3 linked regions of the Macaca fascicularis genome follow. The protein of the gene in region 2 purifies or fractionates together with the protein of the main gene of each other region. This does not show direct contact. Links are inferred from orthologs where the notes say so. Each region holds a gene or a part of one and is shown on either strand. Other genes may lie near its edges. The genes, in order: FBXL3, CRY1 and CUL1.

Region 1 (3,650 bases), on a different chromosome or scaffold from region 2:
TGGATTTGTATCCCTTTTTCAAATTCGGGGTGATTCTAAGTCTCCTCTTCCTGTGAGCAGTCCAGGTGATTCTGATTAAGATGGTTAAGGAAACTCACTCTAAGAAATACGGGTTACATGGTATAGCGCCACCTTCAAGCTTCAAATGGGAAATGAAACAATCTGAATTGATTTTTAGTGTACCTACCATAGCTAAAATACAAATGTACCTACTGACTCATATAGTATATTTAAAAATACCATATTAAAAGATATGTTGAACATAAGTTTTCTTTTTTTTTTCTTACCATTATGCTTATATCTAGTACTAATTTGGGAACCATGAATGGAGCTAATGGAAAGAATGCTTCTTATTAAGTGAGTCTAGGATACTTAATACTGTTTTTCTTTTTCTTTTTTTTTTTTTTTCCGTTTATGGCTTTGGTAGAAGATTGAAATAGGGCATTGCAATATTTTGGAAATCTTGAGAGAACTGAAGACAACATAGAAGAAATGTTTTTGACTAGAGCTAAATTGGGGAAATGGAAAAAGACGTCAGTGATGCAGTCATTAGATTGCAAATGAAATATGTTTGTACAAGATATAATTGAGTTTGATATGAAAATATTAGGAGAAAGATGTTAACATTTAAGTAAATAGTTACTTAATCAAAATCTAAGTAGTTAACCAGTTGTTTAATCACAGTAGGGAAAAAGTAAATTAGGGAATTATGACCAAGAAGACAGTGTTTTGGTTGGGTGTGGTGGCTCACAGCTATAATCTGAGCACTTTGGGAAGCCGAGGCAGGAGGTTCCGTTGTGGCCAAGAGTTTGAGATCAGCCTGGGCAGCATAGCAAGACCCGTCTCTACAAAAAAAAAAAGTTAGCTGTGCGTGGTGGCTCACACCTGTAGTCCTAGCTACCAGGGAGGATGAAACAGGATTGCTTAAGTTCAGGATTTCAAGGTTGTAATGAGCTAAGGAGGTGCCACTGCATTCCAGCCTGCGTGACAAGAACAATACTCTGTCTCAAAAAAAAAAAAAAAAAAGTAATGTTTCATTATACTTTCTTGGCTCTTAGCCTGCCCTCATCCTTTTTCACTCCTGTAGAGAATTTGTAAAGCTAACTGGAGCATGAAGTTGGTTTTGTAGAGAGGAATATGTTGGACCATGTATTAGCCTGCCTTTACTCTCCTAGATTCTTTGCCTAATGGTTTCAACTCATATCTTAGCTCCAACTGAGAGCTGCATACTTTGAGAATGCTTTAATTCCTGTTTGCCTACATTGATTCCTTTAGGTCATATTCTGTCCAACAGATACATACGTGTGTATGTGTTTATACACACATATGTACGTACATATATACATATATATGATACATGATGAATGATTTCATTGGTGCTTTTGTGGATCAAAATACATTAAAATAGAAGACTTGAAAATATTGTAGATAACATTTTGAAGGAATTTTAAACTTGGAATTTTAAGTATGATTTTGATTGTTTTAGAATCAAAATTTCTATGAGTTTTCATATCTCAAATGAGTCTCAGATTTTAAATAGATTATTAATTTTTAATGATGGTGTTAATAGTTACTGTTTAGTGGGCATACCTATCAAACAGAAAAGAAATGCAGTTTAGTGTTATAAAACACTAGGGTTTCCAGATACGGCAAAGTGAAGTATCTGAGAGAGATTCTCATCCCTGGTTCCAGAATTCCTCTTTTTACTTACCAGTGGTTTCTCCAATTTAGAGACACTTATTCTGAGGCTTGAAATGTTTTTTTCCCCTACACATAAATAGGCTCTTCTCAAAGATAACAGATAGTCACCTCTTTTGCCATACTCCCAATAACAGAGTGAAGGGGTGCCACCCCTAAAACATTTACAAAATATTAATGTCATTGTGACTCAGATAAACTGTAGTACTAGGAAACCCCTCAATTCTCATTCCTAAAAATTGAAATAATTTTTTTTTTTTTTTGCTTTTCAGTCTCACTTTATCTCTGCACTGACAGTTGTGTTTGTAAACTCCAAATCCCTGTCTTCGCTTAAGATAGATGATACTCCAGTAGATGATCCATCTCTCAAAGTACTAGTGGCCAACAACAGTGATACACTCAAGCTGTTGAAAATGAGCAGCTGTCCTCATGTCTCTCCAGCAGGTATGTTGTGTTTTTTGCTAGACACATTTTCGTAAAATGCATTGGTATGTTCATCAAATTAGAAAAAACTATGATCATTAACCTTAAAGGTGGATTGATACGACTGCTTCATCTCTTTAAAATATTTTTAATATAGTAATAGAATAGCATAAGTAATAGAATAGCATAAGTTACTAGCCTAGACACTGGCTTTCAGCTTATTTTCCAATCTTATTTGGTAAATTTATGAATAGCACATGCTAGAAAATGGACAGGAGAAAAAGAGGAAAGGACAGTATGAGGTCAGCCTGAGGTGTCCCATTAAGTACAGTAGAATTTTTTCTCATTGTAGTTGAGCTAATAGGGTAAGTTTTGAGTCAGAGCAGTCACATAATTGCTTTTCTTCTCACTATGTAGAGGGAGAAGAGTTGTACTAAGTGGTGGCCTTACATTTTGCAAGATGGTGTTTTTCTCTAAGTTGAATTTTGGAGCCAAGAACCCATCAAATGGGAGAAGAGCATTATAAAAGCTCTTTCCAGTTTCTCTTATATAGGATTTTCTGAGCATTACTGAATTATTCAGTTTGAGATTATTTAAATTCCAGGTGGTTTGTATTGAAAAGAGAGTGTAAATCCTACTACTATATTATATATACTGCTATCTGCTGCTTCATTCCTGACTCCTCCCACTATTGACATGTTTGCTGATCCTTTAGCTGTGTTATTTCGGAAACCTGTTCTTTAAGGGATAGTGTCAAATCTTTGATCTTTACAAAACACTTCCAACCTTCTTGCCATCGGTAAAGGTCAGCCTTCTCCCAAGAAATGATTCCATTTTAGATGGAGATTGCTTGCTCATTCTCCCAAGTCTCCTTGCTCATTCTCTTTTCTCCCACAGGAGGCTCCTGGTGATGAGAATGGCTAGGTCTGTGGTTGTATTTTCTTAGCTGTCTCTGCCACTTACAGATTACCACTGAAGCTATTATAAACCAGAAGTTAGGAATAGGCTTTGGCAGTTCTTATATGACTTTTATTACGTTTTTTTAATTTACTGTATAGCTCTGCTCTCAGAATAAAGTCTGTGCTTCCTGGCTTCATAGTGTACAAGGTCCTTTGTATCTTGATCTCCATCTGTCTCTTGCTGGTCACTCACGTGGAGCTTTTACTTGGGTCCTGTGGAACTACAGATTTTTGTTTGTACCTTTGTTTGTGGTTGCTCAGTACACTTTACCCTGTGGAATACTTGCTCAAATGTTTTAACTTCACCTTGCTAACTGCAGCCAGCCCAGGCTTCAGAGTTCAGCTTAGATGTGATCTGTGTTGACCCGCCTGTCAACATAGGAGAAGAAGGGAACTTCTCCTTTCTGGTTGAGATTTCCCACCTGTGTATTTCCAGAACACTCTGAACGTTTTTGCTAACATTTACCACATTGTATGAGTCTTTATGTCTCTGATTTCTCTATAAAACTGAGAGTTCATAGTTCTCTTTATTCTGGTATATCCTGTGTTCATTCATTTTTATTAAATATA
Region 2 (4,109 bases):
TTAGTTATAATTTCATCGGAGTCTAAAGAGGTGTGCAGAAATATCCCAGGTAGCTCAAAGGCGGTTATCTTGAGTACTGGATTCCAAGGAAGAATATTTTATAGAGGAAAAAACAGCAAAGGTTAAGAGACAAATTGTAAACCCCAAGAGGACTGGAGTCTGTGTCTATTTTATTAAGTATCTCCTGTATCTCTAGTGCTTTGAACAGTGCTTAGTTCACTCAAAAAGTAATCATTGAATGAATTTAAGGGCATCATATATCTAAGGGATGGCATGGCCTGCAGTTCACTGTCGCTGGAAAAGTAGACAAACGTCCAGTCTCAAAGAGACCGGTAAACTACATTAAATGTAGATTAGGGGTGAAACGTTGATGATATATATCGCTAGTATTAAAAAATTCCAGGAAGTCCAGGAATGCCTGGCATCCGTCCTGCCAATTACCCTTTGCCCCAGAGCATGTACAAGGGGGAGGAGGCACCCAAGGGCCAGGAGAGTGGAGGGGCACAGCTCCATAATCTCCAAAGTAGGGTTCTCTGGCAAGCACATGGTTTGGACTTGAAATCTACGTGAAGCCTCCCACTCTCCTCCTTCCACTCCATCCTCCCCTCACTCTCCGCCCGACTCCACCTTTGGCTCCTGAAAGACACCGGACAATTTCCAGGCCTTCCCCAAATCCCACGGGAGGAATCACCTAGCGCGCTTCGGCCCGCGGGCCCCGCCCCCTTACCCTCTGGAGCGCAGGGAGAGCGCACGCGCGCCTCTCTGACCAGCGCGCGCGCCCGCGAGCTCCCCGCATCCCCGTGCTCATCCGGGTCTCACCGAGCCTCGGCCAATAGTGCCCGCTCACGGCCCCTGGGGGCGGGGCTAAGCCTTCCCTCACAAGGGGCCTGTGGTCAACACGGTTTGCCTCCAAGGGACGGCCCGCCAGTCGGCACAGGAAAGGGGCAAAGGCAGTGAGCTCAGCGTGTGGGCGAGGGTCAACGGTTCTGGGATCAAGCGGCTGCCGCCCCTCCAGAAGCGACCGAAGCGCGAGCAGATTCCCCCTCCGAGTCAGTGTAGTAAACACACTTCAGAAACGTGAGGTGCCGGTGGTCACGTGGGGAGCGCGCCCTCCAATGAGGAGCCGGGGGCGGGGCCGAGGCCGCTGACGCGGCGGCGGCGGCAGAGTCACCCGGGCAGCCTCGGGACCGGTCACCGGCCGGCAACCGTCCAGCGGCCTCGACCACCGCCTCTTGCCTCCGTCCCCGGTCCTTTCTCCTGGGCCTAGAGACAGCGTCGCCGACAGGGGCTCATTCCCCTTCGGTTCTCCTCGGTGACTCACCTCGGGCGGGCCGTTTTGTCTTTAGGAGCCGCCTTGGTGGGGCGAGGTTTCCGTGACGAACCTCCTGGGGCCGTCCGTGCCAGCTCGGGCCGTCGTGGCGGCTCGAGCTCGTGGAATTTGCTCAGGCTCCGGAGGTCCGAGGCCCTCGAAGTTATGCGTCGCCTCCAGGAGGTTGCGGCGGGCGCGGGCTCCTAAAGGGCGTCAAACCCGGACTCCGCCGACTGGGCAACCTCCATTCATCTTCTCACTGCGCTTCCAGCGCCCCCGCCTTCTCCAGTCCCCTCCTTGGAGTCATTTTTTCCTGTCCCCCCTCTACCGCCCTTTCCTTACTCCTCGGGTGAGGCAATTCTCTTGGAAGCGAAGGTGTCGGCTATGAGCCGGAGCCTCCTTCCTTGAATTTCTCCGTGGAGGACCCGCCGCGCGCCCCCAGCATGGGGGTGAACGCAGTGCACTGGTTCCGAAAGGGGCTCCGGCTCCACGACAACCCCGCCCTGAAGGAATGCATTCAGGGCGCCGACACCATCCGCTGCGTCTACATCCTGGACCCCTGGTTCGCCGGCTCCTCCAACGTGGGCATCAACAGGTGGCGGTGAGTCACAAGCCCGTGGGAAATGGATTTGGGTGTTTAATGAATCTGATGTTAATGAATTCCATGCGATCCGCCAAATCTGAGAATTTAGACGTGGGACTGCCTTCCTTATACCGCTAACGAATTGTAGGTGCCCTAAGTATTAAATAGAATTGACTTAATAGTTCTCTGGCCAGAGAGTACTGACGACCTGAAACACTCGGCCTTCATCAGTGAGTTAGTTATGTGTCTTTCTGTGCTAACGGGAGCTCTTCCCCTGAATTTGTGGAGAATTCTTAGTGCTGGAGTTAAAGAAACACCCTTCCTGTCCTTAGTGGCCTGTGTATATGGATTCCCTTGGCCTGTTTGTGGCATTCGAAAGGATTGTGATGTTTCCTGTTTACGTTTGTGTCTAGGTAACTCATAGTATGGAGAAAAATCATTCATTCAGTACAGCTGGCTCCAGATCCAGTTTTCTTCCACCTTGAGGTTACTGAGGGAAAAGCAAGGGAAACAGCATTATCTGGTTTCTCTGCTCGGCTCTTTTTCTCAACTCCTCCTTGTGGTTGCCGAGACAAAGCACAGTTTTTCTTTCTAGGCAAGTTGTAGTCCTTCTAGGGATCAGAGCACAAAGAAATCTTAGAGATGCTTTATGATCTTCCTGAAACACCGGGCTACGTGATCGTTGGGCCCCCTGGTGGAAATGAAAGCATTAGCTCAACAGAGAGACTCTTGATCACTTACCATGTGCCAGGCACTGATTTAAATGCTAGGGATATAGCAGTGAGTGAAAGACAAAAAGTCATGTCTTCAAGCAGAAAGTAAAATATGTAGTATTTTAGGTGGTAAGTGTTGTGGAGAAAAATAGAGCAGAGTAAAGGGATAAAGAATACAAGGGTAGGGATGAGCAGTTTTAAATATGATAATCAGGGGAAAAGTCACAGAGAAGGTGACAGTTGAGCATACCTGAAGGAGGTGGTGGGATGCAGATATCTAGGGGAAGACCATTCCAGGCAAAGGGAGGAGTAAGGGAAAAGGCAGAGATATGCTTGACCTTTGGAAAGAACAGCAGAAGAATCCAGTATGACTGGAGCAGAATAAGTGAGGGAAAAATAGTAGACGATGAGGTCAGAGTTGACTTAGGGCCAGATTGAAGAGAGCCTTATAAGCAGTTTTCAAGATTTGGGTTTTTACTCAGTGAAGTGGGAATAACTGCAGGATTATGAGCAGAGAAGTAATGTGATCTGACATAAGTTTGAAAAAGAATTTTTCTGCTTGTTCTGAGAACAAATCTGAGAATTTCTCTGCTTGTGGTTCTGAATTGGGGAGTGGAGGTGGACAAGAAGCAGGAAGTCCAATTAAGAAGCTGTTGGCATTCATCCAGGTGAGAGATGCGAAGGTTTGAATCATAGTGATAATTGTGGATGGGGTGAGGAAAAAAAACAGATGCTGGCTATATTATGAACGCAGAATACACAGTATTTGTTGGCAGATTGGATATGTAGTGTGAGAGAAAGAAAAGGAGTTAGGCTGGGTGCGGTGGCTCATCCCTGTAATCCCAGCACTTTGGGAGGCTGAGGCCAGGAGTTCAAGACCAGCCTGGCCATCATGGCAAAACCCTGTCTCTGTTAATACTGAAAATATAAAAATTAGCTGAGCACAGTGGTGCATGCCTGTAATCTCAGCCGCTCAGGAGGCTGAGGCATGAGAATCACATGAACCTAGGAGACGGAGGTTGCAGTGAGCTGAAATCGTGCCACTGCACTCCAGCCTGAGTGACAGAGTACTCTGTCTCAAGAAAAAAAAAAAAAAGAAAGAAAAAGGAGTTATAGTTTGGTGCTATATAAAAAGCACCAAAATTCAGTGCTTTTTATGTAGTGGCAGCTTACTGTTTGAGAAAATTTTTGGCTTGAGAAACTGGAAGGATGGGGCTTCAATTTGCTAAGAAAGTGAAGCCAGCTGGAGAAGCCATTGGGAGGGTGATTGGAGTTCTCTTCCATTAAGTCATTAAGTTTGAGATGTATTTTACACATTCAAATGGAGATAGCAAATAGGCAGTTGGATGTGTCTGGAGCTGCAGACAGAGATCCAGGCAGGGAGTATAAATTGGAGAATTCATGAGATTATAGATAATATATAAAGCCATGTATTCATCCATCTATTTATTGAACAAATATTTGTCAAGCGCTTACTATATGCCAGGCACTGTTTTAGGTGCAA
Region 3 (3,650 bases), on a different chromosome or scaffold from region 2:
GTTGTAGAAATCTGGATAAAAATAATTTTGGTAAATGCACATTTTCTTTACGAGGGCTTGTTAAAGAGGAAGTATTGTTATACTATCGTACTCACATTATTTTTACAGATTACCACAAAAAAGTGTTTTGATGGTTTAAGAAGGAAGAAGATACATTTAAAAATTGAATAGTATTAGCCTCGTTGTCTGAATTGCTGAGTAGGACATGTTGATTTGATTTCTTTTTTGCGGGGGAGGGGGGGCGGCAGAGTCTTGCTCTGTTGCCCAGGCTAGAGTGCAGTGGTAGGATCTTGGCTCACTGCAGCCTCCGTCTCCTGGGTTCAAGCGAGTTCCCTGCCTCAGCCTCCCGAATAGCTGGGACTACAGGCATGCACCATCACGGCCAGCTAACTTTTGTATTTTTAGTAGAGACAGAGTTTCACCATGTTGGCCAGGCTGGTCTTGAACTCCTGACCTCAAGTGATCTGCCCACCTTGGCCTCCCAAAGTGCTAGGATTACAGGTGTGAGCCACTGTACCTGGCCAATTTCTTTTTTAAACAAAATATTAAAAATACAGATGATTTTGAGGTAAATTTCTTAATAAAAAGGAATTACCTGCATATCAAATGTTCAGGGTACTTTTTTTGAGTGTTTGTGGATATTTAATACCATGAAAAATGTTCCTGTTTAATTTGAGATGAAAGAATTGTTTTTACTATATTCTTGTGAGTTTATTAGCATGTTTTTGTATACAGAATAATTTAAAGAAGCCATCTAAAATCACATGTATCAATGTATTTTAATACAGTAGATGTTACTCACTTTTATTTTTAATTTATAATGTGACAAATTAGTCATCTTAAAGCTTTAGTTAACTTGTTTTTAGGATGGAGAAGATTTGATGGATGAGAGTGTACTGAAATTCTACACTCAACAATGGGAAGATTATCGATTTTCAAGCAAAGTACTGAATGGAATTTGTGCCTACCTCAATAGACATTGGGTTCGCCGTGAATGTGACGAAGGACGAAAAGGAATATATGAAATCTATTCAGTAAGAGTTTTGTTTTAAATGTGTTTTTTTAAAATGATAAATTGTCTTTTAGTAAGAGAATCTAGGCAAATATTAAGCTTTTTTCAGAGTAGTAAACTAATTTTCATTGTTTTATCAATAAATGTCCCTTAAATATTTTTTAGCAAGAAAGTAGAGGAATGGGTAAATTGGAGTTCTAAAATACAATTTGTCCATTTCTGCATTTGCTTTTTAAAAATTTCTTCTTTAATTACCTGACCCTACCATCACAATTGGCATGGAACTGCCTGAGTTTTCTCACTGAAAGTCCTGAGTCGTGGCAGTCCCAGGCAAATCAGGTGCCATACCTGAGGGCGAGCCCTGAGGATTAGCCCTCCCATGCTTTATAGTCTGGGAAACCCTGCTTCAGGGAGAGGACCCTGAATTAATTACTAAATCACTCTCATTAATATATGTTGCTTCAGTCAGCAAAAGGGGTTTTTTTGTCCATTGGCTTTCAAAGTATGGTCCCATATTTGTCTGTTTTCATAACTTCTGATAAACTGCGTGAGACTGGGTAATTTATAAAGAAAAGTTTAATGGGCTCAACAGTTCCACGTGGCTGGGAAGGCCTCATAATCATGGCAGAAGGCACATCTTACATGGTGGCAGGCAAGACAGAATGAGAGCCAAGCGAAAGCAGAAACCCTTATAAAACCATCATATCTCGTGAGACTTATTCACTACCATGAGAACAGTGTGGGGGAACCACCCCCATGATTCAGCTCTCTCCCACTGAGTGCCTCCCGCAACATGTGGGAATTATGGGAGCTATAGTTCAAGGTGAGATTTGGCTGGGGGCATAGCCAAACCGTATCACGTCCCCAAACCTGCTCTGTCAGCATCACCTGGGGACTTGTTAGAAATGCACATTCTTAGGCCTCATCCTAGACTTAAGGAGAAACTCTGGAGATGGGGCCCAGCAATGTTTTACCAAGCTCTCCAGACAATTCTGATGCATGCTCCAGTTTGAGGACCAGTGTTCTAGAGCAATTAAGGGAGGACTCAGAAGCTCTCCAGACAATTCTGATGCATGCTCCAGTTTGAGAACCAGTGTTCTAGAGCAATTAAGGGAGGACTCAGAACAGTCTGTTCGTGATCAACACAGGCAATGCCCTTTAAAACTAGTTTTGTTAAAATGTCAGATTCTACATAAAGAAGTTAATCACCATATCCAAGAATGTTGCTATAATAGCAATACTTTGTAGCTTCACTTTTGACAAATTTAAAAGAAAAACATAATGCTGGTTGCAGTGGCTCATGCTTGTAATCCTAGCACGTTGGGAGACCGAGACAGGAGACCAGCCTGGGCAGCATAATGAGACGTACAAAAAAATGTATCCAGGCATGGTGAGGCACCTATAGTCCCAGCCACACATGAGGCTGAGGTAGGAGGATCGCTTGAGCCCAGGAGGTGGAGGGTGCAGTTAGCCATGATCGTACCACTGGACAGAGTGAGATCCTGTCTAAAGAAAAAAAAGAAAAGAAAGAAAAGCATAATGTATCCCGGATGCATGACTTGTTTTTATTGTTTGTGTAACTCCAGTTTCTATACCAAAATTGTTAATTGGTTCATAATGATACTTTGCTATGTAGTTAGTCTGGTTCTAACAAAACTTTCTAGGTTTAGTTGTTTGATTTGGGGTTTTTGTGCTTCCCCTTTAACATTTTGTTTATTTTTTTAACTGACAAAAATGTGTACACCATGCCTTTTTGAAATATGTGTGTATTGTGGAATAGCTAATGGGATTTTTTTTCTTTTTCACATATAAATGCTTTCTTGAGACTCCAAAGTTGTTAGTATAGGAATCAGGATGATCTTGGTTCATTTGCTTTTGGAAACCTGCTTGGCCTAAATGTGTACCCTACAGTCACATCACAGACTCCTAAAAATAATTACGGTTTTTAAACTTTTCCTATACTGTTTTCAACAACAGTTAAAGAAAATATAAATAAAGAAGTTGAGCTGACAAATGTCTGTGCTTGGATACCTCTTGAAGTTGTTGACTCTAGAGAGTGGCTTTCTGATTTCGTCATGATAGCAGATTTTGACCAACTTGTAATCTAGAAATTTTGATGAAGTAATTTGAGATTTAGATTATTTCCTACGACTTCAATCTTGGAAAAACATAGTAAAAGTATAGATATTTTGTACTTTTTTTTCTCCAGCTTGCATTGGTGACTTGGAGAGACTGTCTGTTCAGGCCACTGAATAAACAGGTACCTACTGGTGTAAGCGTGTGCGTGTGCGTGTTCCTTTTAAAATCCCTTCACAGTTTCGTTGCTTAGCCTTTGTCTGCTCACTCCTTTGGATTATCCCATCTTACATTGTTTAATGGCTGTGAATGTTTAAGGGATATGTAGTAATATCTATCATATTCTATAACCTGTGTAATATTTTTCTACATCCTTTCTAAAGGTAACAAATGCTGTTTTAAAGCTGATTGAAAAGGAAAGGAATGGTGAAACCATCAATACAAGATTGATTAGTGGAGTTGTACAGTCTTACGGTAAATAATTTCCCTTTAGTTTATTCAAAGTTTCCACATCAAATGGCAATTATGACAATGCTCTAACAGATTTCACTTTAAAATATTT

Evidence for each region.
Region 1: the proteins of CRY1 (region 2) and FBXL3 purify together in Homo sapiens (affinity purification with mass spectrometry; 4 studies listed by BioGRID and IntAct, counting the BioPlex papers as one, with this or other methods). This does not show direct contact. The link is inferred for Macaca fascicularis from reciprocal best matches to the Homo sapiens genes CRY1 and FBXL3.
Region 3: the proteins of CRY1 (region 2) and CUL1 purify together in Homo sapiens (affinity purification with mass spectrometry; 4 studies listed by BioGRID and IntAct, counting the BioPlex papers as one, with this or other methods). This does not show direct contact. The link is inferred for Macaca fascicularis from reciprocal best matches to the Homo sapiens genes CRY1 and CUL1.

Annotation. Positions count from the first base shown.
Region 1 is NC_088391.1:68,027,038-68,030,687, reverse strand, and holds part of FBXL3 (F-box/LRR-repeat protein 3), read left to right. Parts: intron 1-1,970; coding exon 1,971-2,142; intron 2,143-3,650. UniProt on the Homo sapiens protein: Substrate-recognition component of the SCF(FBXL3) E3 ubiquitin ligase complex involved in circadian rhythm function. Plays a key role in the maintenance of both the speed and the robustness of the circadian clock oscillation.
Region 2 is NC_088385.1:113,988,886-113,992,994, reverse strand, and holds the start of CRY1 (cryptochrome-1), read left to right. Parts: upstream 1-1,163; 5' UTR 1,164-1,752; coding exon 1,753-1,910; intron 1,911-3,081; exon of another isoform or gene 3,082-3,273; intron 3,274-4,109.
Region 3 is NC_088377.1:190,410,827-190,414,476, forward strand, and holds part of CUL1 (cullin-1), read left to right. Parts: intron 1-866; coding exon 867-1,034; intron 1,035-3,221; coding exon 3,222-3,272; intron 3,273-3,471; coding exon 3,472-3,562; intron 3,563-3,650. UniProt on the Homo sapiens protein: Core component of multiple cullin-RING-based SCF (SKP1-CUL1-F-box protein) E3 ubiquitin-protein ligase complexes, which mediate the ubiquitination of proteins involved in cell cycle progression, signal transduction and transcription.